4 linked regions of the Arabidopsis thaliana genome follow. The protein of the gene in region 2 interacts with the protein of the main gene of each other region in a pairwise test. Each region holds a gene or a part of one and is shown on either strand. Other genes may lie near its edges. The genes, in order: CAK4, CYC3B, CDKD1;3 and ETG1.

Region 1 (5,171 bases), on a different chromosome or scaffold from region 2:
AAGGAAAAAAGGAAAGAGCTATATTAATGTATATGCCTGGAAGACTTGAAAATTAGATATCTATTATAGATAGTTTAATATTAGGTAAGTATGAAAGAGAAAAAAATTAAAATCATAAATTTCCTTTTTCATTTTGTTTAATTTACTAAATATGTCATTGTCTCAAAACACTATTTATTACCGGATATTTTAGACATGATACTGTTCATCAACTGCCTGAAGACACTATTCATCCGAAATTTACGACACTGTCGTATTTATCATTGGATTGCATAAAATATTTATGATTTATGTGGATAACTATTTGATTAACATGTTAACTAGTATAGTATCGTGCTAAATATATATAACTATTTGATTAATATGTTAACTAGTATAGTATCACGATAAATTTTTATATATCGTATTAAACCATTTACCATATCATACAAATTAATATGAAATAATCAATTTAACTTTATAATAACATGTTATACTGAATATAACGTGCTAACATATTAAATATCTGAATAATATTTATATTAATATGGTAAGATAGTTGATATATAGTGAAATTATAACAATAGTTGATACATGACATATTTGGTAAATTAAACAAAGTAAGAACTAAGAAGGACATTTATGGCTTTAAATTTTTTCTCTTTGATAGTTAACTAATATTGAATTATCAATGGTAAAAATCTAATTTTGAAATCTTCTGGGCATATCCATTGATATTTTCCAAAAGAAATGAAACATCATCTTCTCAAGTGAATCCTTCAGGACCCATCACTCTCCTCATTTTACCAGGAGGAGACAGTACCGCTGGGCTATTTCCATGTTGGTTTTGCTCGGAGGCCTTTGGTTCGAGTGCGTCTCCTTTGGAAGCTGGAATCTGAAGCTTCCCTGGCTCAGTTGGTGATGGAGAAGACGAGAAATACCTGATGAAAAAACCAATGATAATCAGAGTGATGAAACAGAATTTTTGTCCCGTGGGTTTCTTTTTCAAGAGTATACCTGTGGTCTAAAGCTTGTTGTATTGTGATCCTTTGACGTGGGTCGTAGATGAACATTTTTGCTAGAAGATCCAAAGCGTCATCACTTGCCATAGGGAAAATGGTACGTAATGGTGGAGCGGGTGTATAGGAGAATTCCATGTAGTCTGGGAGATAGATCATGTCAGACCATTGGGAAGGTACTGGAGTACCAAACGCTTGAAAGATCTTTCCAAGTTGATCAATCTCAGTAGAACCCTGAAGAAAGTATAGGAAATGTTTAGAGAACTACAGACTTTTTAAACATGAAGTACGAAGGGTATAGAGCATTACCGGAAGAAATGGTCTACGAAGTAGTAACTCAGCAAAAATACAGCCTGCAGCCCAAACATCAACTCCTGCTCCATACTGTCGACTCCCAAACAGTAACTCAGGCGCTCTGTACCATGTAGCAAATACCTGTGTGAATAAGTATAACCAATTTAAACTTAACGAATCTTCCACAAGCAGATACAAATAGCTAACCAAATGAGATATCTACACAAGTTACACAACCAATAAATCTCAGAATCTTTCTAAAGTAACAATGTTAATACATCCGTAAGTAACAAAACTGTATCTGGTGACTTTGAACCATCAATCTCTCATCTCACCAAAATCGAAAAACACAGGTATGCAAGAATCAAAATTAAAACCGTATGATGTCTTCTTAATACTCTGTATCAATTTTTCCATATCCAGCAAAAAGAGACTTCTACAGAACTAATCAATTGCAGAATCTTCTTGAGTCAAAATGTTAATATGACCGTAATCAACAAAATGCTATCCGGAAACTTAAACTTGTAATCACCAACCGAAACCAATAACATAGGTATGCAAGCATTCGAATTAAAAACATAGTATGTCTTCTCAATGCACTATATATACTCTTAGTTTGTCCCAGCAAAAAAAAACCAATAGATCATCAAGAACAAGACTAATCTACCTGTCAATTCAAACAAAAAATAGAAGAGATTTCTTCATAACTAATCAATCTCAGAATCTTCTAGGGTAAAAAAATGTCAATACAATCTTTCACCTCACCAAAACCAAACACACATAAAGTATGATATCTTCTCAATACTCTGTACCGACTCTTCATTTTGAGCATAAAATTCAAAATAGATCATCAAGAAGAAGTACCAAGATATTTACTACAAACTCCAGACTAATCTAGCTACCAATGCAACCATAAATATCAATAACTATATAAATACCTAACCAATAAATCCAATAAGATCATCAAGAACTACACTAACCTAGCTACCAAGCTCAAAACCGTATCAATCATAGCATCAATACCTGATGAGTAAACCTCCGATTCGGACTCCCAAACAACCTCGCCAAACCAAAATCAGCCAACTTCAACAAACCATTCTCTCCAATCAACAAATTATTCGGCTTCATATCCCTAACAACCACACCAAAAACAAACCATCAACACAATCAAAATCAAATCTTTATAAACCTAAGCATAACTTCTTACCTGTGAAGAACCCATTTCTTATGACAATAAGCTAAACCCTTCAAAGTCATCAACATATAAGACTTAATATCACCAGGAGATAAAAAGATATTACGATCACGAATCACTGCTTCTAAATCTGTTTGCATATACTCAAAAACTAGATGCAAACTTCCATCGTGAGGGAAAGCATCAATGAGTTCAACGATATGTGGATGATTCAGCTCTTTTAGTAGCTTGATTTCTCTTAAAGCTGTGAAATTTACTCCTTCCTTTTGGTTTCCTAATCTTATCTTCTTCACTGCTACAGTTTTCCCAGTCTAAGGAAATCACAAAATCGAAGATTGTTGAGTTTGAAAATCTTGATGAAATTGAAAACGAAATCGGGAAGGGTTTTTGATTTTACCTTTGTGTCGGTGGCTTTGTAAACGACACCGTATGTTCCTTCTCCGAGGATTTGACGGCGGAGGTATCTATCAACTGGTTGATTATCGCCGGATTTCGACATTGGGTTTAGATTCTCCGGTACACTTCGAGGAAGTACGAGGGCTCCTAGTGAAACACTTTTAAGAAATTGAATTCTTTGGTTTCAATTTTATACCCGTAAGATTTTGTGTTTTATGAAACGAACCTTATATTTATGAAATAATCAGAAACAGCCATATGATACTGTGGATAGCATAAATATGCTAACACTCGTGATTTGTTTGCAGGAAGTGATTCTACATGATCATCAGACCCTAGATAATTTAACCCTCCACCTCGAACTATTGATGATTAATCTTATCGAGTAGAAAATAATACACAATATAAATATCAAAGTAGCTATTTTTTACAAATTTACCATTTACCTAAAAAAAATATAAAATAATTTTACGAAATCCAAAATAATAGGTAATATAATTCTTATTCGTTATTGTCAAGTATAGGAATATATTATGTATTATTAGGTATTTAAAAACAACAATCTGTTTATTATAAAATATCGTATTTATTCAAAACATATAGGGCTTACTGGGCTTAGCCGAACACGGCTTTTATAATGTTATTGAGTTTAGTAATTAGATCTGTATTAATAAAAGTTTGAATAAAATATTTTTTAATATTTTAAAAGATATTTTCTTTTAACAAAACAAACATTTTTTTTTTTTCAAAGTAATCGAAATGGAGCCGTTTTTAACTATCTTTCGGTTTACCACAGAGTAAAATCGTTAGGCGAGAAATTGTAATGTGTACTACTTTTTTTTTTTTTTTTTTTTTGGTGAATAAATGCGGACTCATATTTTTGGCAGAACAACTGTGAAACGGTCCTAAAAAAATCACGGACTCATGTTTTTTTGGTGAAAGAATTATGGTTGATGATGATGATAATCATCATCATCAATGCTAACTATGACCATTTAACGGCACTTTTTTCAACAAATGATGAAGATCAAATGTCGCTTTGTACCTTGAGAAAATCTAGGGAAGTTATTCTACACCTATTACCAAATTCCAACCATCAGAACTCAGAATCTTGTTTGGCAACTGTTGGCTTTGCTTCGATTTAAAAAACCTTTGCCCAAAACATAAACATACAAAAATGTCAAGAATCACTTCCCTAAAGCCTCTAGAATTAAGTACAACAAACAGCATATAATGCTTTTGAAAGACAGAAAAGCAAAGCGCAACATCTGTGGAGACAATAGTTCTCAATTCTCATCCACTTTTCTTCAACTAGACTTGGTATAAGGATCATGATTCCTCAGGTTTTGGTTCTACTGACTGATCAGGTAAAACCTGAGCTTCACCATTGACATTAGGTTGTTGTTCATCAGATTGTTCAGGAGGAGCGGCAGTAGCAGCAGTCTGCTCTTCTTCTGGATGAAAATCTATAGGAAATTTAGTAACTCTAGGTTTGTCGGAAAGTATGTTCCTCTGAACTTTATCAATCAAAACCTTAGTTGGAGGCTCTTCCTTGAGTTGCTCATCCTCATAATCATTGTTCACGTAATATCCAACTCTCAAGAACTCTTGACCCATGTAAGAACATGTCAACAATAGCACAGTAACACCGATGATGTCTTCCTCCTGAATCTTTGATGGATCCGGAGGATCAGCCTGTAACAGTAGTAATAGAGAGTTAGACCAAGACTTTGTTGGTGCTTGGAAGAGGTAGTAGTGCATATGTTACCTGAAATACAAAGCGGTAGTTGCCAACATTAACAGGCCCTACAAGCACACTCTCTAGAAGTTGATCATAAGTCTCATCTTCTGCTGAGCCTACATAGATAAGCTTCCATTCCAAATCTGTACCACAAGCAAAAGCACGGGTCTATCTAAGTTATCCTCACCCTATAACAATGTTAACCAAGAACTTGTGCATAGATAAATCCAACTAATAGACAACAAGACTCTAGATTATCAATTAGAAAACAAACCATTAGAGCATGACTCTGACAAAGCAATTAGGTAACAATATGTTCCAATTACAATCAGCAGCAACAAATTGGTGTTGAAAACAATCCATAAGAATCAGCAGAGACTAAAACCTAAATAAAGTCGAGATGAATTACAATTCAGGGGAAGGAGAAAGAGGAGATTTTTACCGTCTTTGAGAGAATTCAAACACTCGTAAGAAATCTCGAACTGAAAAGGGCTAACAAAAGGAGCAGGATTATGCAATACAGCGACGTTGGTGATTTTGATTGCAC
Region 2 (6,241 bases):
AAGTGATCATGTAAACAATAACACTGTTTTTACCATTTTATAGTGAGAAGTTACCGGTTTAGGCGTCCTGATCTTTGTAAATGAATCTCGTGCGCAATCACGGCGGTAGAGGCTATTGCCATACAGAAAATTATAGGTAAGTCGACTTTGAGAAAAGTATCTGAAGCGGTTTTAAGTCGAGCTACAGACTTAGGGATTTCTTGTTTGTTTAGTGGAGGACTATATAAGGAACTGTAGCTGTGATAACTCAACTTAAGGAACTGAAGTGGGTATAGTTGAGAGTTTTTAAGGAGGAAAAGTGTTGGCGTATCTTCGAATTTTAGGATTTGATTGAATTTGTGGAAGATTGAAGAACTTCAAGCCATGGAAATACATACATTGAAGTATACCTGAAGACTAATTTGACGAATAAAATCAAGCATGGAGGAATCAGTAAAAAGGGGATACCAAATGTTACACGGGAGACGTTAATTGTAGATGGAAATGTTTCCATATGAATATAGCATTGCGAAATCAGAACAAACAACATAACAATCCAGCCATGAACAGTGAAATTTATATTAATTAACACTTTTGTATTCGTTTTCCAAGTGCTCCTAGGTACAAAATCCCGCAGGATAGTAAATAGTTGTAGCAATGCGATTAGAAAAATTCCATAACATTTATTTAAAGCTAAGTGGTGTGACAAGTAATGGCCTACAATTAAGGCGCCACACAATAGCTACAGAATTACAGACAGACAAAACTGGCAAAGAGACGACATAACATCCAATGTCTGAAAATAGGTATTTTGATCACCTGACTTGGGCTCTGTTTTCGATGTTGCTTGGTGTCATCTTGAGAATAGTGATGTGACTCGTTTGGGAGATGTCAGCTTTGCCACGCTCTTAAACTATCAAAGTCATACAGAATTAAAACCAGTTCAATCATTCATTCACTTTTCTTCAACAATCAGTAGTTTGATTTAACGGTGTTTTGTAGAGAAATGTACCTTTGGTTGGTTGTATTTCTCACGGGTGGCAGCGAGAGTACAGCCACTGGTGTTGAGCTGCAAGTCCTCCATGGCGAGAACTGTGTTCTTCAGCTCAGCTACCTCATATCTGGTGTAGTGTTGCAGAGTAGGGTTCTATAACCAAACATCATTCTTTTTATCAGCACAAAAAAGAGGCAAACACAAAAACAACCTTTTTCAAGATTCAAGAAACATGAGCTGACCCAAGGATGGTCAGTTTGGTCGAGTGTCCATCGGGCTAGGAAAACAGCTGAAGCAGCAATTAGTGATGGCAGGAACCTTAGGAAACTATATTCCACCAGTGTCAATTCGGCGAGATAGTTTGCTAAATACTCCAGTTCAATGAAAGGCACCTGCAAAATAATTATAAGAAACAACGCACTACATTCAGATTCCAAGTTTCTGTAGAAGTGAGGGTTGATGATAAATGGATCATGGTTTCATACCTTGTACGAAGCTTGAGCTGCTTTAATGAACCGCCTGAAAAAACATTGGTAAGATGAAAACTCAGTGGTACTATTTTTAAACAAAGTTGGAAAGATATGATGATTCATAGTTCTGCCCTTTAGTATTTACCTCAGAAATGTTTTGGTGGTAGGAACCGATAATCTAAAGTGCACAAAATTTAGAATTTGAATCTCCATGCTCAGCACCTGAAACAAAGATTCCAGTTTATATATTTTCATCAAGAATCTGTACACATTAAAGATACCGAGAGATGTGTGATTTGAATGTTAATTACTTCTGGTCTTGTGTATGTGTTGGCCGTAATGAAGCAAAACTCCTCCACCCCTGGTGCGGAAAGCTCTTCATATTTTCTACAAGGTTCAACAAAAATGTATAAGGAAGATAAGCCTTACTTGTTTCTCTACTTAGCAAGTATACATATATATATAGGTTCGCGCTCTCCCAGTGATGGAAATGCTGTTCTCATTGCTATAACCTGAAATTGACAAACACACACAAACAACAAAGTAGGGACTTACGAAGCTATAAGCATGCAAGAGACACCAAGGAGCTGGAGTCTTTGCCTTTCAATGTAACTGTTGGACAGAAACCGGTCGATAAGATTCACTGTAAGGTAAAGCGTATCTGGAACCAGCTTGTAGTCGTCAGAAACCTGAAAATACCACGCACTTCACTATTTTACTCAAAAGTACTCTCAGTTTTTGCTCTAATTTTTGTAAGAAAGCTATGTATAGTAAGGTTTAGTGTCCTATTCAATAAGAAACATAATAAGATGATGCCGTTATTTATATATATGAGCTAAGTTTGAAGGTAACTAACTTCTACAAGCCAGTCAATCAGAATCTTTCTCATGTCTGGGTCGATATCTCGCTGCACAAGCTCCATATAATTAGCCAAGGGTCGTTGTTGAAGCTGCAAGAAAAGAGAGGTTATAACTCCAACAGTCTTCATATAAGTAGTTATATTGAGATTAGTTACAAGAAGTTAACAGTGGAAAGATGTAAAGCAAATATTTGGATCATGTAATTCAATACCTCTGCAACATGTATGTTGTCATATATATCAGCAGCATACAAGCTGCAACACTGTGGATCTTCGACGTTGGAATCAATATCTACAACTTGAAGTAACTCCATGACACCTGATCCATCTTCTTCTGCACAATCCAGTATAAGATACATACCTTAAGTAAGTTTGAGAAATTCATGTTGGTATAGAGTTCACTTGTTTCAACCCTTGACAACACAAATTTAATGGGAATAACTAATTTCAGCATTCTGGAGTCCAATGCTTGATTTAAAGTTAGCGAGTGATCAACATGACCTCGGAAATGAGGAGAAGGTGGTAACTATCATTATTTTCACGAACACTGTAGTTCTTACGTTGCTCAGTAATTTCTTCATCTTTAAAGTTTGAAAGAGAGACATCTTGGGCTTCAGCCATCCTGATCTTGGACAAATCTTCTGCTAATTTTGATTTTTCTGTATGCATATCTACCAGAATATCCATGGCACTGTTAGCACCTTCCTTTGCTGCTTTTTTAGGCTCTTTTAGACATTTTCTGTTTGCCTGCAACGTGATGTCAACAGTAATAAGCCCAAAGGGAAAGTTTGAAGGCTATATTACCAACATAAGATATAAACCAACCAAGACAATGAAAGCGTATCATCTGAAATCTTTACCTTGATGTTGCCTCCCTTTCGAAGTTCTGAATAAATAATATCTGCAGAGGTATTACTCACATCCTTAAGTACTGCACGTCTCTTTTGCTGATAAACCAGAGGCAGGAAATTAGAGAGTTTAGCATCAGCTCTTGAAATTCATGACTTTCTATAAGAACATGTTTCAGTACCTGTTTAAAAGAAGGTTTTGTTGGAGGTATTGATACTCCTCTTCCCATGGCTTTTTTAGCTCGTGATCTCGTTATTCGTACAAAACTCTCCTGTACATCTGAAGTAGAGATATTTTCTTTGTTTGCATTTGGATGCATCGAAGAAGAGCAATACATAATTTAGTCTGGAAAAAGGCCAGTGGTTAAGCCAAGCCTGCAGAACAACAACAGTTCATAATCAAATGTCTATCCTTGCCTCCATCAAAAAGATCAAGCAATGTTCAAATGCAGCATAAATTTCAGGAAGAAACAAGCATATAGTGGCAATTAAAACGATTTCTTCATACTCAAATTTAGCCACAGATCTCAATTCCACACGATTCTAACTATTGAGTAAATGTCAGCTTAAACAAGCAACCCAGCTTATCACAACTAGTTTCTATGTTTCCTTCACATTAATCTGCATCGATAGATCCAATTTTCAAGCTAGTCATTTCCAAATCGAATTAAGCATTGTTCTTCATAGCAAAAATCCTTTAAAAGACCGATTACTTAAACAAACAATGAGCCATAGAGTACACACACGTTTCATAAAATCCAGTCAAACAGATAAGAACGATCTCAACAATTTCAATTTCCCAGTGATTAGCCATGCTTGAAGAACAAATACGCAGAAACCAAATACAAGCGGAAACAACAAAGAGGAATCGATCATCTCAATCGAAGACCAAAAAACATTCGCTAGAGAGATCGATTAGACTAAAATCCAAACTACTATTAGCTCCGATCGATCAAAACGCAGAGCAACAAGCTACGATTCAGAGAATCGGTAATCAAACAGGAAATTGTGAGCAGACGAGAGGTGATGATGATACCTGGCTCAACAAATAGGTTTATGAGTTTGTGAAGGAGCTCTAATGGCGGTAAGAGAAGCTCAAGGAGAGAAGAGAACGCTCCAGAGAGAGAGAGAGTGTTGAAATATGTGTAGGTGGGGGAGAGAGCGGAGAGGAGCGGGGGAAGCGACTGACTGAAAAAGGTACTGTTTGAAATTCGGATTTTTTTGGATATAACAAAAAAAAAAAATCGGAATTTAAAAAATCTTTCTTTGCTTTTTTTGGAAAAATCTTCAATTTCTTTGGTAAAAAATTGTAAGAATGATTTCTATAATTTGGTCCAAGTTACTATACAAGGAATAGTGCAACTGTCTTTTATTACTACACATATGTTGGAGCTGTCAATTAACAAAAAAAAGTTTATATGTTATGGTAATTTGTTTGTTTTTTAAGAACTACACTACTTCGATAGATAGACAAATTATTGGTCGAGAAATTTCCGACAAACATAAAATGGTAATGACTATTATTTTGAAAACAAAAAATATATTTACCTTACGTAAATTACAGTAATTTCTAATTTGGAAACGAAAATACATTAATAGACATTATATTTACATTAAACGATTCTGTACGATATTATCACCGCAATGTATCTACCATCATTCACGTTTTTAATCGTTGATTTACTTAATCAAATTAAAAGATGTTAATTTAAAATTCATGTATCTGGAAAATACGATCCAAATACACATCAACAAGTGCTCGAGTTCAGATCAATTATAAATTTTTGACATTTTTCTAATTATACACATATTTTCCAACTATTTTACCTTAAAATCAATTTAATATATTTGGTCAATAATATTTATATGTTTATTTCTTTAAAGGGATAAAATAAATTTGAAAAGGAAATGGAGGGAGAAAATAACCACATCCATTGCCTTGCATTCTCACAATTATTTCGAAAGATATTTATTCACATATAGAAATTCAAACATTAGTCAAAAAGGCGTTTCTACCAATTTAACAACATTAATTATATGTATTTGGACATATACGAATCACACGCATACACGGATTCTTACTTGCAAAATAATAAATTGTAAATTATCCAAAAAAATAAATGATAAATTGTATATACATCTTTATAAAAAACAAATTAAATACGTGTGGAGAAGGACTAGAAAGACAATTTCTAAGTTGTATGAGGATATATATCAAATATTCTATATGTAACTTCATTTTAAAATAATGGGCCATGTTGATCGATATTTTCAGTTAACAAACAAAAGCCCAAATGGCGCGTAATCGGAGTGTCCTAATTTTCTCGGCGGACACTTAATTCTAATAAACGGCGGCAGAAAATGAACTCTCTGTTCACCGCCTTCCGCCGCAACCTCCTCTTAAACCCTAATCCTCACCGCAACTTCTTTCTTCATAGATTGTTATCATCATCTCGCCGTTCATCCCCGCTCATTCCCGTCGAGCCTCTCATCCAACGGATACAATCACCCGCCGTACCCGATTCTACATGTACTCCACCGCAACAAAACACCGTCTCGAAAACCGATCTCTCTACTATATCGAATCTTCTCGAGAACACTGATGTTGTTCCCGGTTCGAGTCTCGAGTCAGCTTTAGATGAAACCGGAATCGAACCGAGTGTTGAGTTGGTTCACGCGTTGTTCGATCGGTTAAGTTCATCGCCGATGTTGCTTCACTCAGTGTTCAAATGGGCGGAGATGAAACCTGGGTTTACACTTTCTCCTTCACTTTTCGATTCTGTTGTCAATTCTCTATGTAAAGCTCGTGAATTTGAAATTGCTTGGTCGTTGGTTTTTGATCGAGTGAGAAGCGATGAAGGATCGAATTTGGTTTCTGCAGATACGTTCATCGTTTTGATCAGACGGTATGCTCGTGCTGGTATGCAGATTTCTTGTAGCTTCATCAATATTGCTGATACAAAGAGCTAGCTTAGAGTAATAGAAGCATAAAGCTTTTGACTTTAATATAGTTTTTCCAATTTGCTTGTAGGTATGGTGCAACAAGCTATACGAGCTTTTGAATTCGCTAGAAGTTATGAACCGGTTTGTA
Region 3 (4,939 bases), on a different chromosome or scaffold from region 2:
GTCCAGAAACTTTTGAAGGTAAATACCTACAGTTGTCAAAATCACTTTGTCCTCCATTTCACACTCTCTTTAACTACATAGAAAGAAGCTCAAAAAACAGATGTTTTTCGGTAGCCATGTGAGCAAAATGGCTTGTTAGAACCTTGTGCACACAAGTAAAGAGTGTCAAGGGAAATTAAATGTGAGAAACTAAGAGGCTAAGAACTATGATTTTGTAGGAGGGCTTGCATGTAAGCACGGTAAGTCGCCGTCTTGTGAAGGAAGCTGTGAAAGAACGTCGTTGCAAAGACAACTGCACAGCAATCGTGATAGTCTTCAAGCGGGTATGACTAAAGAAGAGCCTGACTGACATGTGGGCATCTGTTTTTCTGGCTCGTATGTGTTTTATAAACCTGTTGTTGGTATTTGGTAAAATCTTTTTGAGCTGTCAATGGATCAATTAAATTCCTGGGGCCACCATCGAAAGAAAAATGAGTTTGAAGATTAAACAGAGCTCTCTTTGTACCGCAAAGAATTCTAGAAGCAAAAAGTAGAAAGCTTTATAATCATAGACTTCATAGTACAGTATGATCAGTTTACAATGAATAAAAAGCCTATGGGACAACAAAATATTATCATTGTGAATCTAAGGTCCCTCTGGTTTGTAATCAAGCTAAATATGGAAAAGAATAAATCGCCAGATTACACAAGCAGCAGTAAATTGACAACTTAACAATGGTGTGGTTTCACCAGAACATGAAAATGGAGAAGCTAAGAGAAGAGTGCATAACCAACAGTCTTACTGGAACTCAAGATCGAGTTTCCTCTTCAGATGAGATCTATCAGCACTACAAATTGAACAAGAAGAAGTCATTAAAACACAATCAATCTTGAGGCTGTAATGACAAATGAGATTAATATGCAGTGAGGGAGAAACTGTCTTGTTTTTTACCTGGTGATTGTTGGCCTGTTTGGAGGTCGCTCAGCGAGGATGGTAAAATCTAATGACATGGGTGCTTGTTGATCCTTGTCAACATGAGACTTCAAACTATCAACCCTCCCACGCTCAGGCATCACTCTTCTAAGCTTACGTGGTGGTGATTGCACTGTAATGGCCTCATGTTTACCGTAAGATGATTTACCATCCTGCTTAGGAACGGGCTTTGGGAGCTTAGCCGGGTCAGTAGGAGCAGGTGCAGAAGTGAAGTACCTGAAATAATGAAAACAAAGGTGTGAGAGCAGAACGCTAGATATACTTTGCCTATAAACAGATGGTGAACATTAGGCACCTGTGTTCTAGAGCCTGCTTAATGGAAATTCTAGCCTTTGGGTCATAGGTAAACATTTTGGACAACAAGTCGAGAGCATCATCACTAACTGCTGGGAATAAAGAACGTAGAGACGGTGCAGGGACAAATTGATACTCTACATAATCTGGAAGCTTTGTTAAATCCGGCCACTGATCTGCTTTTGGTGTCCCAAAAGCAGCAAATATTTTGCTTAATTGATCAATATCACTGTTTCCCTGCAACGGCAAAAATAGAATAAGTAAACATACCGAGAAAATTGATAATGAATATGTAATTATGTAGTCTGAGAGTGAGTATAACATCCAAAGAGATGACAATTGGACTAAAGTTTTAATGGTAGCCATTAGATTTGAGTAAGATTATTTAACCTGAAGAAATGGTCTGCGTAGTAGAAGTTCGGCGAATATGCAGGCAACGGCCCAAACATCAACTGCAGCACCATATTGTTTTGCACCAAACAAAAGTTCTGGTGCTCTGTACCATCTAGCAAACACCTGTGCATTATCAGATATATCAAGATATGAAGATAATATAACAACTAGAAACAAGAGAAAATAAGTTGCATTGCGCATTTGGAAACAGAGCTCACATGGATTCTATTGTAATTTTGGGTGTTCAAAGGGAAACAAAGAAGGCAGAAATAGCTCAGGTCAAAAATCCGGTTAACAGCAAAACTTTTAGTACAGATATGAGATAGCTACTGCACCATCATTTAATATGAGTTGAGACTGTTTAATACATGTTACATTTAGTATACAACTAGAGAAATGAAAAGACATGAGACATCTAATCTTCCTCATCCCTAGACATAACTACTGATAAGAACTACTTAAAACTTTCTTATCAATATTTCATATGAGTTAGTCGATCAATTTGGTTATATTACAGCAATAGATAAAATGGCAATGCGGCAAAAGGCATACCTGGTGGGTAAACTTACGATTTGGACTACCAAATATACGTGCTAAGCCAAAATCTGCAAGCTTAAGCTGTCCATCAACTCCTATTAACAAGTTATTTGGCTTCATATCCCTGAACTCAAGCCACACATAATCAGTGCCCAAACCAAGCAACATTACAGAGACAATAAGCAAGTTGTTAAGGATAAACAAATGTACCTGTGCAAAACCCATTTATCGTGGCAATAAGCAAGTCCTTTAAATGTCATTAGGAGGTAGGATTTAATGTCGGCGGGTGAGAGGAAAATGTTAGAATCGCGAATAACTGCTTCGAGGTCAGTCTCCATGAACTCAAAGACAAGATGCAAGTTTTCCTTGTGAGGAAATGCATCAATGAGCAGAATAATATGAGGATGCTTTAGCTCTTTGAGCATTTTGATTTCTCTGAGAGCTGTAATATTTACACCTTCTCTTTGTTTACCAAGCCTTATCTTCTTAATTGCTACAGTTTGTTCCGTCTGCAAAATTACACCCCACAATTACTTCCCCTTGATCCAACAAAAACTTCAATCAAAATCCGGAACCAAAAAAGAAGGAGAAATTAGGAATTGCCGACAGATCCTAAACCCTAATTTTGCAAACAAAAATCAGCAAAGATATGACCTTAGTATCAGTGGCTTTGAAGACGACTCCATAGGTACCTTGCCCAAGAACCTCTTGCTTGAGATACCTATCAGCAACTTTCTTTGGCTGCTCCGGCATTTTCGGGTTTTTCAGAACCCACTCAATAATCGCGCCTCTCTCTTTCTTCTTAATTCACGTCGCTAGAATTCGATTGCTTTCCGATTTTTATTCTAAATTGAGTAAAATCGACGATGAGGAAGATACCGGGAAAATTTAGGGTTTCAGCTTTGAGAGCTCCGGCTCCGGAGAAAAAGTAGCCGTTGGCGCGTTTGCAGACGCAATCGGCTAATCGAGGGAAACAACAAATAAAGAGAAACGCCCAATTATTTACTTTTCTAGTTTTTTATACATTTAATATCCAAACATTTTCGATTTATAAAAGAGAAAAATATTATTTAATATCTAAACTTTTAAACAATAGCTAAATTAATCGTGAATTTTTGATTTTTTGAAATGACTGTTTTATACCTCAACAAATTTAACCTATAACCTATAAAGCATATTAGCAATCCACGTGTTTTTGCTAGAGTTTAGCTGATTTCTTAAGAGCTATCGTTGCTGTTTCTCGTCCATATCCCCTTCCTTGATAGTTTCAAGCTCTTTGCCAGTAATCCATTCAGGGAGTATAGCTGCATACTTGCGAGGTGGTGGAGGCGGATACTTCATTGTCGGCTTCTGGTCACTAGCAAAGCCCGGAGGAGGTTTTGGAATCTGAAGCGGTGGTTCCCTTACCCTCACCCTCAATGGAACATCAGGTATCCCATAATCACTAAGTTTGATCTCAGGTCCCTCATGTAATTCTGCGCACGGTATCCAGCAAGCTTTTTCTGGTAATAAGCATGATAACGATCTGAGCTCCAGAAGAAGGAGTACTTTGGGTTTCCCGCATAGCTTGTCATCATCTTTCTCTCCATCTCAGGCCCCTCCATGAAAACCAAACGGGCTGAGCTATCCGCATAATATCTAGTCCTCGGAGGTACATCTGCCGGAGTTCGATTGCAAATCACTCGACATCTCTTTTCTATACAAAGAGAAACACAAAATAATAGATAAAGTTAACCCTTGATGACAAGAGATGCAAAGAGATCGATTGAATGTGTTGATTATCACTTGACCCTGAGCTCTATATGACTATATTTATACAAGGGGTAAACTACCAAGAAAACGAATTATCTTCCTAAACGTAAATATAAGAAAAGGCAAAGATACATATCCAAGGACTACTTAGGGTTTCGGAGAGAGATAACAAGTACCGTACCTCACCCACCGGAAAGTAACAGCCACGCCGCGAGAGCCACAGTGACGTCGTGAACGAACGAACTCTAGTTCTGAAGCTTGGAAATTGACAATTGCAAATCAACGGAGAATATCCTCTTAGAACAAATCCACGGAGCCCTATGCGTAGCCTAGCACTTATAGACGAGAAACTTGTGCTCCAGGTTTTATAATGGGCCTCTGTTATTCGGGCTTATAACTTCGGGCCATATTTACTTAATTTGAAGTTAAATTCGGTTTTGGGTCGAGATTTTGGGTTTTAGTTGTTTTTTGTTGTGAGAGACGTCGTTTTCCATTTTCACCATACATTATCTACTTAACCGGTAAGAACCAAATCATACATACATGAACTGTTATGTTATAAAACCATTCTGTTTAACATCAGAACATTACGGAAAAACGGTCTATTTCCCCATGGGAACTATCGCATCTGGCTAGATGAAGCCCGATCTTTGACCTCTTGCTATTTACCCATGAAATGAAAGTTAAACGTCTATTTCCCCACCAATTAAAAGTTCAAGAGCTTAATGTCCCCGAATCGTGGTTACTTCGGTTTGATACGTAAACCCGAGACGAAACCATATTATCGGTCAAAACCAAACCAAAAAAACCCGGATTCGTTTTTAAAACCCGATCCATTGTCGAATCCCAAATCCAAAATCTAAAACCCCAAACTCAAAACTCAAGAACCCTAAATCGATTCCCAATTTTTTTATTTCCAGTTGAAAGATGAGCAATCTGTCATCAAGTTCGTCGGGATCTACAGGACCTCGTGGTCGAGGAAGAGTGGTT
Region 4 (6,083 bases), on a different chromosome or scaffold from region 2:
GATCTTGGTCACTTCAATTACGCAGCAATTCAGGTTAGTTTCTACTTTAGCTTGGATGATTTACTTATTGTTATATCGCCACAGGTTTCAATAAATCTTTGTTTTGTTTGCTGTAGATTGCGTTTACCTTCCTGGTTTATCCGGCTCTTATATTGGCATACATGGGGCAAGCTGCTTACTTATCCCGGCATCACCATTCTGCTCATGCAATTGGGTTTTACGTCTCTGTACCAAGTCAGTAATTTGCCTTACTTCAAGAACTCAATTTTTTTTTGGTGTTGATCATTGAAAACGTAATCTGATCTTTTGTTTATATAACTCCATGGTTTTGAACAGAATGTTTGCACTGGCCTGTGCTTGCTGTAGCAATTCTTGCTTCTGTTGTGGGAAGCCAAGCGATCATCAGTGGGACTTTCTCAATCATAAACCAGAGCCAGTCTCTCGGATGCTTCCCTCGAGTCAAAGTCATTCACACGTCCGATAAGATGCATGGTCAGATTTACATACCGGAGATTAACTGGATGCTCATGATTCTCTGCATCGCTGTTACTATCGGGTTTAGAGATGTCAAACACCTGGGAAATGCATCAGGTATGAGATTCTTTTATCAACTCAAGAATTTTGGATTCTTCGACTTTGAGATTATATTCCTTTGTGGTTGGTTGCAGGTTTGGCTGTAATGGCGGTTATGCTAGTGACAACATGTCTTACCTCATTAGTCATTGTTCTTTGCTGGCACAAGCCTCCAATTCTAGCGCTAGCGTTCCTTCTCTTTTTCGGTTCAATAGAACTTCTCTACTTCTCGGCCTCACTCACCAAATTTCGTGAAGGCGCTTGGCTTCCGATCCTCTTATCTCTAATATTCATGATCATCATGTTCGTTTGGCACTACACCACCATTAAGAAATACGAGTTTGATCTCCAGAATAAAGTCTCGCTTGAATGGCTTCTTGCATTGGGTCCAAGCCTCGGAATTTCTCGAGTTCCAGGTATCGGTTTAGTCTTCACGGATTTAACCTCTGGAATCCCCGCCAATTTCTCCCGGTTCGTCACCAACCTCCCTGCCTTCCACCGTGTTCTTGTCTTTGTCTGCGTGAAATCTGTCCCTGTCCCGTTCGTTCCACCTGCTGAGAGATACCTCGTGGGTCGTGTTGGTCCCGTTGACCACCGCTCTTACAGATGCATCGTTCGGTATGGATACCGTGACGTCCATCAAGACGTGGACTCATTCGAAACAGAGCTCGTAAGCAAGCTGGCGGATTTCATCCGTTACGATTGGCACAAAAGAACACAACAAGAAGACGACAACGCTCGTTCTGTCCAGTCCAACGAATCCTCAAGCGAGTCAAGACTAGCCGTGATCGGAACAGTAGCTTACGAGATCGAAGACAATCTCCAACCAGAGAGTGTCTCCATCGGATTCTCCACAGTCGAAAGCATGGAAGACGTCATACAAATGGCCGAACCAGCCCCAACCGCCACCATAAGACGGGTGAGGTTTGCGGTTGAGGAAAACAGTTACGAGGACGAAGGATCAACATCGTCAGCAGAAGCAGATGCGGAACTGAGAAGCGAGCTGAGGGATTTGCTGGCAGCGCAAGAAGCAGGAACTGCGTTTATATTGGGACATTCACATGTGAAAGCGAAACAAGGATCATCGGTGATGAAGAGATTAGCAGTTAATTTCGGTTATAATTTCTTGAGAAGGAACTGTAGAGGACCTGACGTGGCTCTTAAGGTTCCACCTGTTTCTCTTTTAGAAGTCGGCATGGTTTATGTTGTTTGACTTATGAAAAAACTAAATATATGAAAACCTAATTCCTCTGTTGTAAATTCGTCATGTTTAGCTTCATAGATCTCTGTTTCTGTGTTTGTGAGTCTGGGGTTTGACTTTTAACAAATCTTAAGACCAAGATGGTCAGAGGATCATATATGCCAAATGAATTAGTTTATTATACACATGAAACGACATCGTATGGAGAGGGGTCCAAAACGGTGCGTTGGAAGTTGGAGAATGGGCATGGATAATGGCGGGAATAACCTAGGAGATATGGCGGGAAAGGCCCAACTATACACACTTGACATTGCCCTTAATTCGTGTTTGAGCAAAGACTCAATCTTTCATCTCTAGATTCTTGGCGATTCTCGCTACATAGTACTTTGGTAAAGAGTGAAATCAAAGGTTGGTTTTGAGATATGGGAGGACCAGCTTACGATTGTCTGACCAACCCTTTAGGAGCCGTCCGATTCTCCTTCGTAAATGCTCTGTCTTCAGGCTACGATCCGGCTTCGTCTGTCGGAAAAGACTGGGGTGTCGTTGATTTGTTCCGTCACTACTTCTCCGACGAATCTGCTATCTCCCAGGTTTGCCCTAAAACCTTTACTCTGTTTCTATTTTTTTTTGGGTTTAGGGCAATTGAGTATGTTTTGATTAATTACTACCCAATTAGCATAATAGGTTGATTTTTTCGTGTACTTTGGCTCTGTTTCTAAGTAAATCAGCTTACTTTAGGTTTTAGTCTATCCATAGATTGGTTAATTTGGGTTTTTTCAAGGATCTGTTTTGAGATATTTTTCTTAATTAACCGATAGTGTTTTCTTTTGTCTACTAGGTTCCAATTCTTGATTCGTCAAGTATTAAGTGGGTGCAACCCAAGACTCTTGTTCGGTTTCGTGGAATGATACAGGACATGCTTGGGAATGAATTCTATGCTGGTGCTTACAAGGTAGGAATATGACTTTTGATGGTTTCTACTAAAGAAGAATTCAATCTTTATCTATCAGTAACTGTTTCTGTTTTTACGTTCTGTTTAGGATGATTCAACATGGAGAACAAACAAGTACAGTGATGTTTCACAGTTTCCTGAGGGTTCTTCCACTGAAATTCAAGTTTGGGAGCGTCGCTTGCTTTACTGTGTTCCAGTATGTTTTGTCTCATGCGGATCTTTCTTTTTTGTTGTTGGTCTCTCATATATGTTTAAACATAATAACACTTGATTGCAATGTTTAGGTTCCGGGAAAAAACCAGTGGACTGAATGTTCTTCACAAGAGCTAAAAAACCGGTTTTTGGATCTAACTGGCCAAAACAGGGAAAAGCGTGTGAGGGTGGATGAAGAAATGACTGATTCCATGGACTCCAGTGTAAGCAACTTAGGTTCTCATGTTTGCTTTATATGAAACTGATTTTGTTGTAGCAACATCTATTGGTGTTGTTTGTCAATAACTTATTTTAGCCACCATTGCAGACTTTAGAAGCTGGGCGTAATGGTTCTCCTTTTAAGAAAATGGTAAGGATCTCTAGTCTCTTAAGTCTTTCTTCAAAGTCTTTATGAGTCTAACACTATAAGCTACAAAGTTGTGGAAAAAACCATATATTATAAACTTTTCTTTACTGTTACTGGGAAGAATCATGAGACATTGAGATTTTGGCTGATGAAGAATTTCTGATTAATACTGTTTTTTATGTTCATCAGAAAGTGGGGGAAGCTACTTCATCAGCTTCAGAATCTCAGGTTCCACAAACTTCTGGTATTCCGCCTGCTACAAGTGCAGATTCTCTGCCTTGTCTTGTCAAGGTAAATATATGTTTACATTGTTCTTTATATTACCTGTTAACATGTGTATACAAAAGCAGCAAAGACTAGTCTGTTGACAAGATTCTTATGCGGCCACGCAGATCTATGATTCTCCAGAGTCAGATTTGAAGCTAAATGATGTGGTTGAATTTCTTGGAGTGTTGACCTTCGATCCAATTGTTATGATGGATACAGATACACTTGATGAAAACTCTGATGCTCTTTCTGAAGCTGAATCTGTTCAGATGCCCTCTGGAAAGGTCCCACGCCTCCATTGTCTTATCCATAGAAAGCTTGAAACACAGCATTTCCTGCATGGTTCTTCGTTATTACCAGAGGCAAGTATCATCGATTTAGAAAATATACCTCTCATACCTATTCGTGTTTTGAAATTTGTTTTAAATCTCTTGTTACTTTCCATTTAGCAGCCAAAATCCCCCCAAATATTCAAAGAGATAAGAGAGAGTTTGATGAAGTACCTTACCGGTCTACTTGGGAATGATCACATTGCCGCACAGTTCCTATTATTGCATCTCCTGTCAAAGGTAATTAGTTGAAAAAGGATCACTTGTTTTTATTCTCAGCTATTACTGCTACGGCCTTCTATATTCATATGTTTTTTTTCTCCTTTACAGGTGCATGGAAGAGTAGATAATGTTGCTGTTGGGAAGCTTTCTCTTAATCTCATACACCTTAATAAAGAAAGCATGTCTATCTTCGGTACCCAGCTCAGTGGTGCCCTCAAAAGCCTCCTACCGTTCACACAATCTATACCACTTACTATTGAGTATCTGAACACTGCCTCGTTCGGTCCCAAGAAAGACTATGGAATCAACAGGTAAGAATCCAGTTCTACGAAATCTTAACAATGGTTTTGAATCATTCTTCTCTTGAAAGACCTGCAATTATATTGTTTTTATGACTCAGATTGATGCCTGGAGTTCTACAAATTGCTGATGGTACGCACTTGATATTGGATGAAACAGAGTTGCAACCAGGCACCTTGAACTCTGTTGGAGTTGAGAATGCAAATCTGCTTAAAAACCTCTTGGAATGTCAGAAGGTAGGGCAACGTCATTATTCACTTTTAATCAGATTCAAATATGAATATGGAATCTGCTGCTATTTCAGGTTGAGTATGATTTCCAATATTACAAAATGGAAATGGCCACTGATGTTCAAATGCTCATATTCTCCGAGGGAAAGTCGAACATAATGCCCGCCGATTTGGTTCTACCTCTTCAACCTTCTCAAGTGAATTCATTGGAAGTCATCACACCAGAAACAGCTGAAACTTGGAGGTGCTACTTAGCTACTTGCAAATCATTATCACACTCCATTGGGCAAGAGTTGCAACAGGTATGTATATATCTATTGCATTAATGTTAGAATCTGCCAATCTGGTACTTCTAAAGAAATCCATTGTTTTCAGACTTTTGACTAATATTTTCTGCAAATTTTTGTTGCAGGTGGTGGAGAATGATTTGGTTGCAGCTAGACAAACAGATCGTAGTTTAGGCAGCCAAGACTTGAGCAGGTACAAAAGCCCTCCTTAGGGTTTATCCTTGTCAAATATGTGCAAAACTTACAATTATGTTGTTTGGTTCCACAGATTGTTGACAATGGCTCGTATGATGTCTGTGAGTTATGGTGAGACTACGCTTTCACTAGAGCACTGGCAAATGGTGTTGGAACTAGAAAGACTTAGAAAGGAGAGGCTCAAGTAAAACCACCGTAACGAACAAGATGTATTATGGTTTCGAGACTATTTGGATATTGTAATTTTCACTAAGTTATCTGAGTAAGAAGAACCATATCGTTTCATTTCCTATCTATTTATTAAGGTTCAACTTTTGAGCTATTGACTGGTAATGGAAAATGTTTGAGAAAGAAGAAAACTTGGAGACTTCAAACCCATTCCGGTTAATTTTCATCGTTGATCTGACATGGTAAATACTGAATAAAGCACATGCACACTGTGACACCTCTACTTTAAAAAGTACCAAATAGATAAACTGACTAGAAGATTATTTTCTTGTGATGCAAGTAAGAAACAAACTCAACCAATCGACCTTACTAAAGTATACTCTTCTATAAAATAAAGAAATTTCTTCTCCCCCGTATGTAAATTGAAATCACCAGATGGAAGTCTTGGTATAGAGATATATCGATCTGATAATCTTATCACGGAAGAAGACTTTGGTCTCGATTGCATATCTCTCACGTACGACTCTCGTTTGTATGAATAGAAAGAACAAAGACACACACAATTTAACGAGTTCCCAAGGTCAAACCGATCCTTGGTACATCTCGGCTAGGCTTTGCCATAGCAAATTCACTATCCAGTTTTTTTTTTCTTTTTTTTATACATATGTACACAAGAGAGATAGAGAGAGGATTAGGTCAAAAGAAGCTTCGAGAAACTTGGAATCAACGACCTAGATATCTCCTTGTTGTCTTCTGTTGTTGGCGATGGAAGTCCTTGTGTAATAAAAGGATGTTTCAAG

What was found.
Region 1: the proteins of CYC3B (region 2) and CAK4 interact in a two-hybrid assay, tested with the Arabidopsis thaliana proteins (one large-scale study listed by BioGRID).
Region 3: the proteins of CYC3B (region 2) and CDKD1;3 interact in a protein complementation assay, tested with the Arabidopsis thaliana proteins (one large-scale study listed by BioGRID).
Region 4: the proteins of CYC3B (region 2) and ETG1 interact in a two-hybrid assay, tested with the Arabidopsis thaliana proteins (one large-scale study listed by BioGRID).

The regions. Positions count from the first base shown.
Region 1 is NC_003070.9:24,892,590-24,897,760, reverse strand, and holds CAK4 (CDK-activating kinase 4), read right to left. Parts: upstream 3,239-5,171; 5' UTR 2,987-3,238; coding exon 2,885-2,986; intron 2,799-2,884; coding exon 2,500-2,798; intron 2,425-2,499; coding exon 2,316-2,424; intron 1,434-2,315; coding exon 1,308-1,433; intron 1,233-1,307; coding exon 997-1,232; intron 921-996; coding exon 746-920; 3' UTR 502-745; downstream 1-501. Other genes in the region: SGA2 (ASF1 like histone chaperone), read right to left, coding at 4,213-4,578, 4,652-4,767, 5,067-5,171.
Region 2 is NC_003076.8:3,600,979-3,607,219, forward strand, and holds CYC3B (mitotic-like cyclin 3B from Arabidopsi), read right to left. Parts: upstream 4,373-6,241; 5' UTR 4,187-4,372; intron 3,526-4,186; 5' UTR 3,489-3,525; coding exon 3,333-3,488; intron 3,250-3,332; coding exon 3,163-3,249; intron 3,050-3,162; coding exon 2,863-3,049; intron 2,637-2,862; coding exon 2,515-2,636; intron 2,393-2,514; coding exon 2,300-2,392; intron 2,133-2,299; coding exon 1,999-2,132; intron 1,831-1,998; coding exon 1,755-1,830; intron 1,666-1,754; coding exon 1,589-1,665; intron 1,493-1,588; coding exon 1,459-1,492; intron 1,366-1,458; coding exon 1,216-1,365; coding exon of another isoform or gene 1,127-1,215; coding exon 992-1,126; intron 893-991; coding exon 833-892; 3' UTR 535-832; downstream 1-534. Other genes in the region: AT5G11310 (Pentatricopeptide repeat (PPR) superfamily protein), read left to right, coding at 5,512-6,070, 6,182-6,241.
Region 3 is NC_003070.9:6,206,350-6,211,288, forward strand, and holds CDKD1;3 (cyclin-dependent kinase D1;3), read right to left. Parts: upstream 3,180-4,939; 5' UTR 2,951-3,179; coding exon 2,852-2,950; intron 2,707-2,851; coding exon 2,408-2,706; intron 2,322-2,407; coding exon 2,213-2,321; intron 2,113-2,212; exon of another isoform or gene 1,797-2,112; intron 1,784-1,796; coding exon 1,658-1,783; intron 1,505-1,657; coding exon 1,269-1,504; intron 1,190-1,268; coding exon 932-1,189; intron 828-931; coding exon 779-827; 3' UTR 522-778; downstream 1-521. Other genes in the region: AT1G18030 (Protein phosphatase 2C family protein), read left to right, coding at 1-18, 219-329; AT1G18050 (SWAP/surp RNA-binding domain protein), read right to left, coding at 3,613-3,893, 4,136-4,206, 4,917-4,939.
Region 4 is NC_003071.7:16,932,731-16,938,813, forward strand, and holds ETG1 (E2F target protein 1 (ETG1)), read left to right. Parts: upstream 1-1,890; 5' UTR 1,891-2,196; coding exon 2,197-2,364; intron 2,365-2,612; coding exon 2,613-2,726; intron 2,727-2,814; coding exon 2,815-2,922; intron 2,923-3,010; coding exon 3,011-3,142; intron 3,143-3,246; coding exon 3,247-3,288; intron 3,289-3,474; coding exon 3,475-3,576; intron 3,577-3,677; coding exon 3,678-3,914; intron 3,915-4,004; coding exon 4,005-4,121; intron 4,122-4,211; coding exon 4,212-4,414; intron 4,415-4,503; coding exon 4,504-4,639; intron 4,640-4,707; coding exon 4,708-4,935; intron 4,936-5,045; coding exon 5,046-5,113; intron 5,114-5,188; coding exon 5,189-5,303; 3' UTR 5,304-5,542; downstream 5,543-6,083. Other genes in the region: KT2 (potassium transporter 2), read left to right, coding at 1-33, 117-234, 337-591, 669-1,786; AT2G40560 (Protein kinase superfamily protein), read right to left, coding at 5,975-6,083. UniProt on the Arabidopsis thaliana protein: Associated component of the MCM complex that acts as a regulator of DNA replication. Binds to the MCM complex during late S phase and may act by promoting the disassembly of the MCM complex from chromatin. Required for sister chromatid cohesion.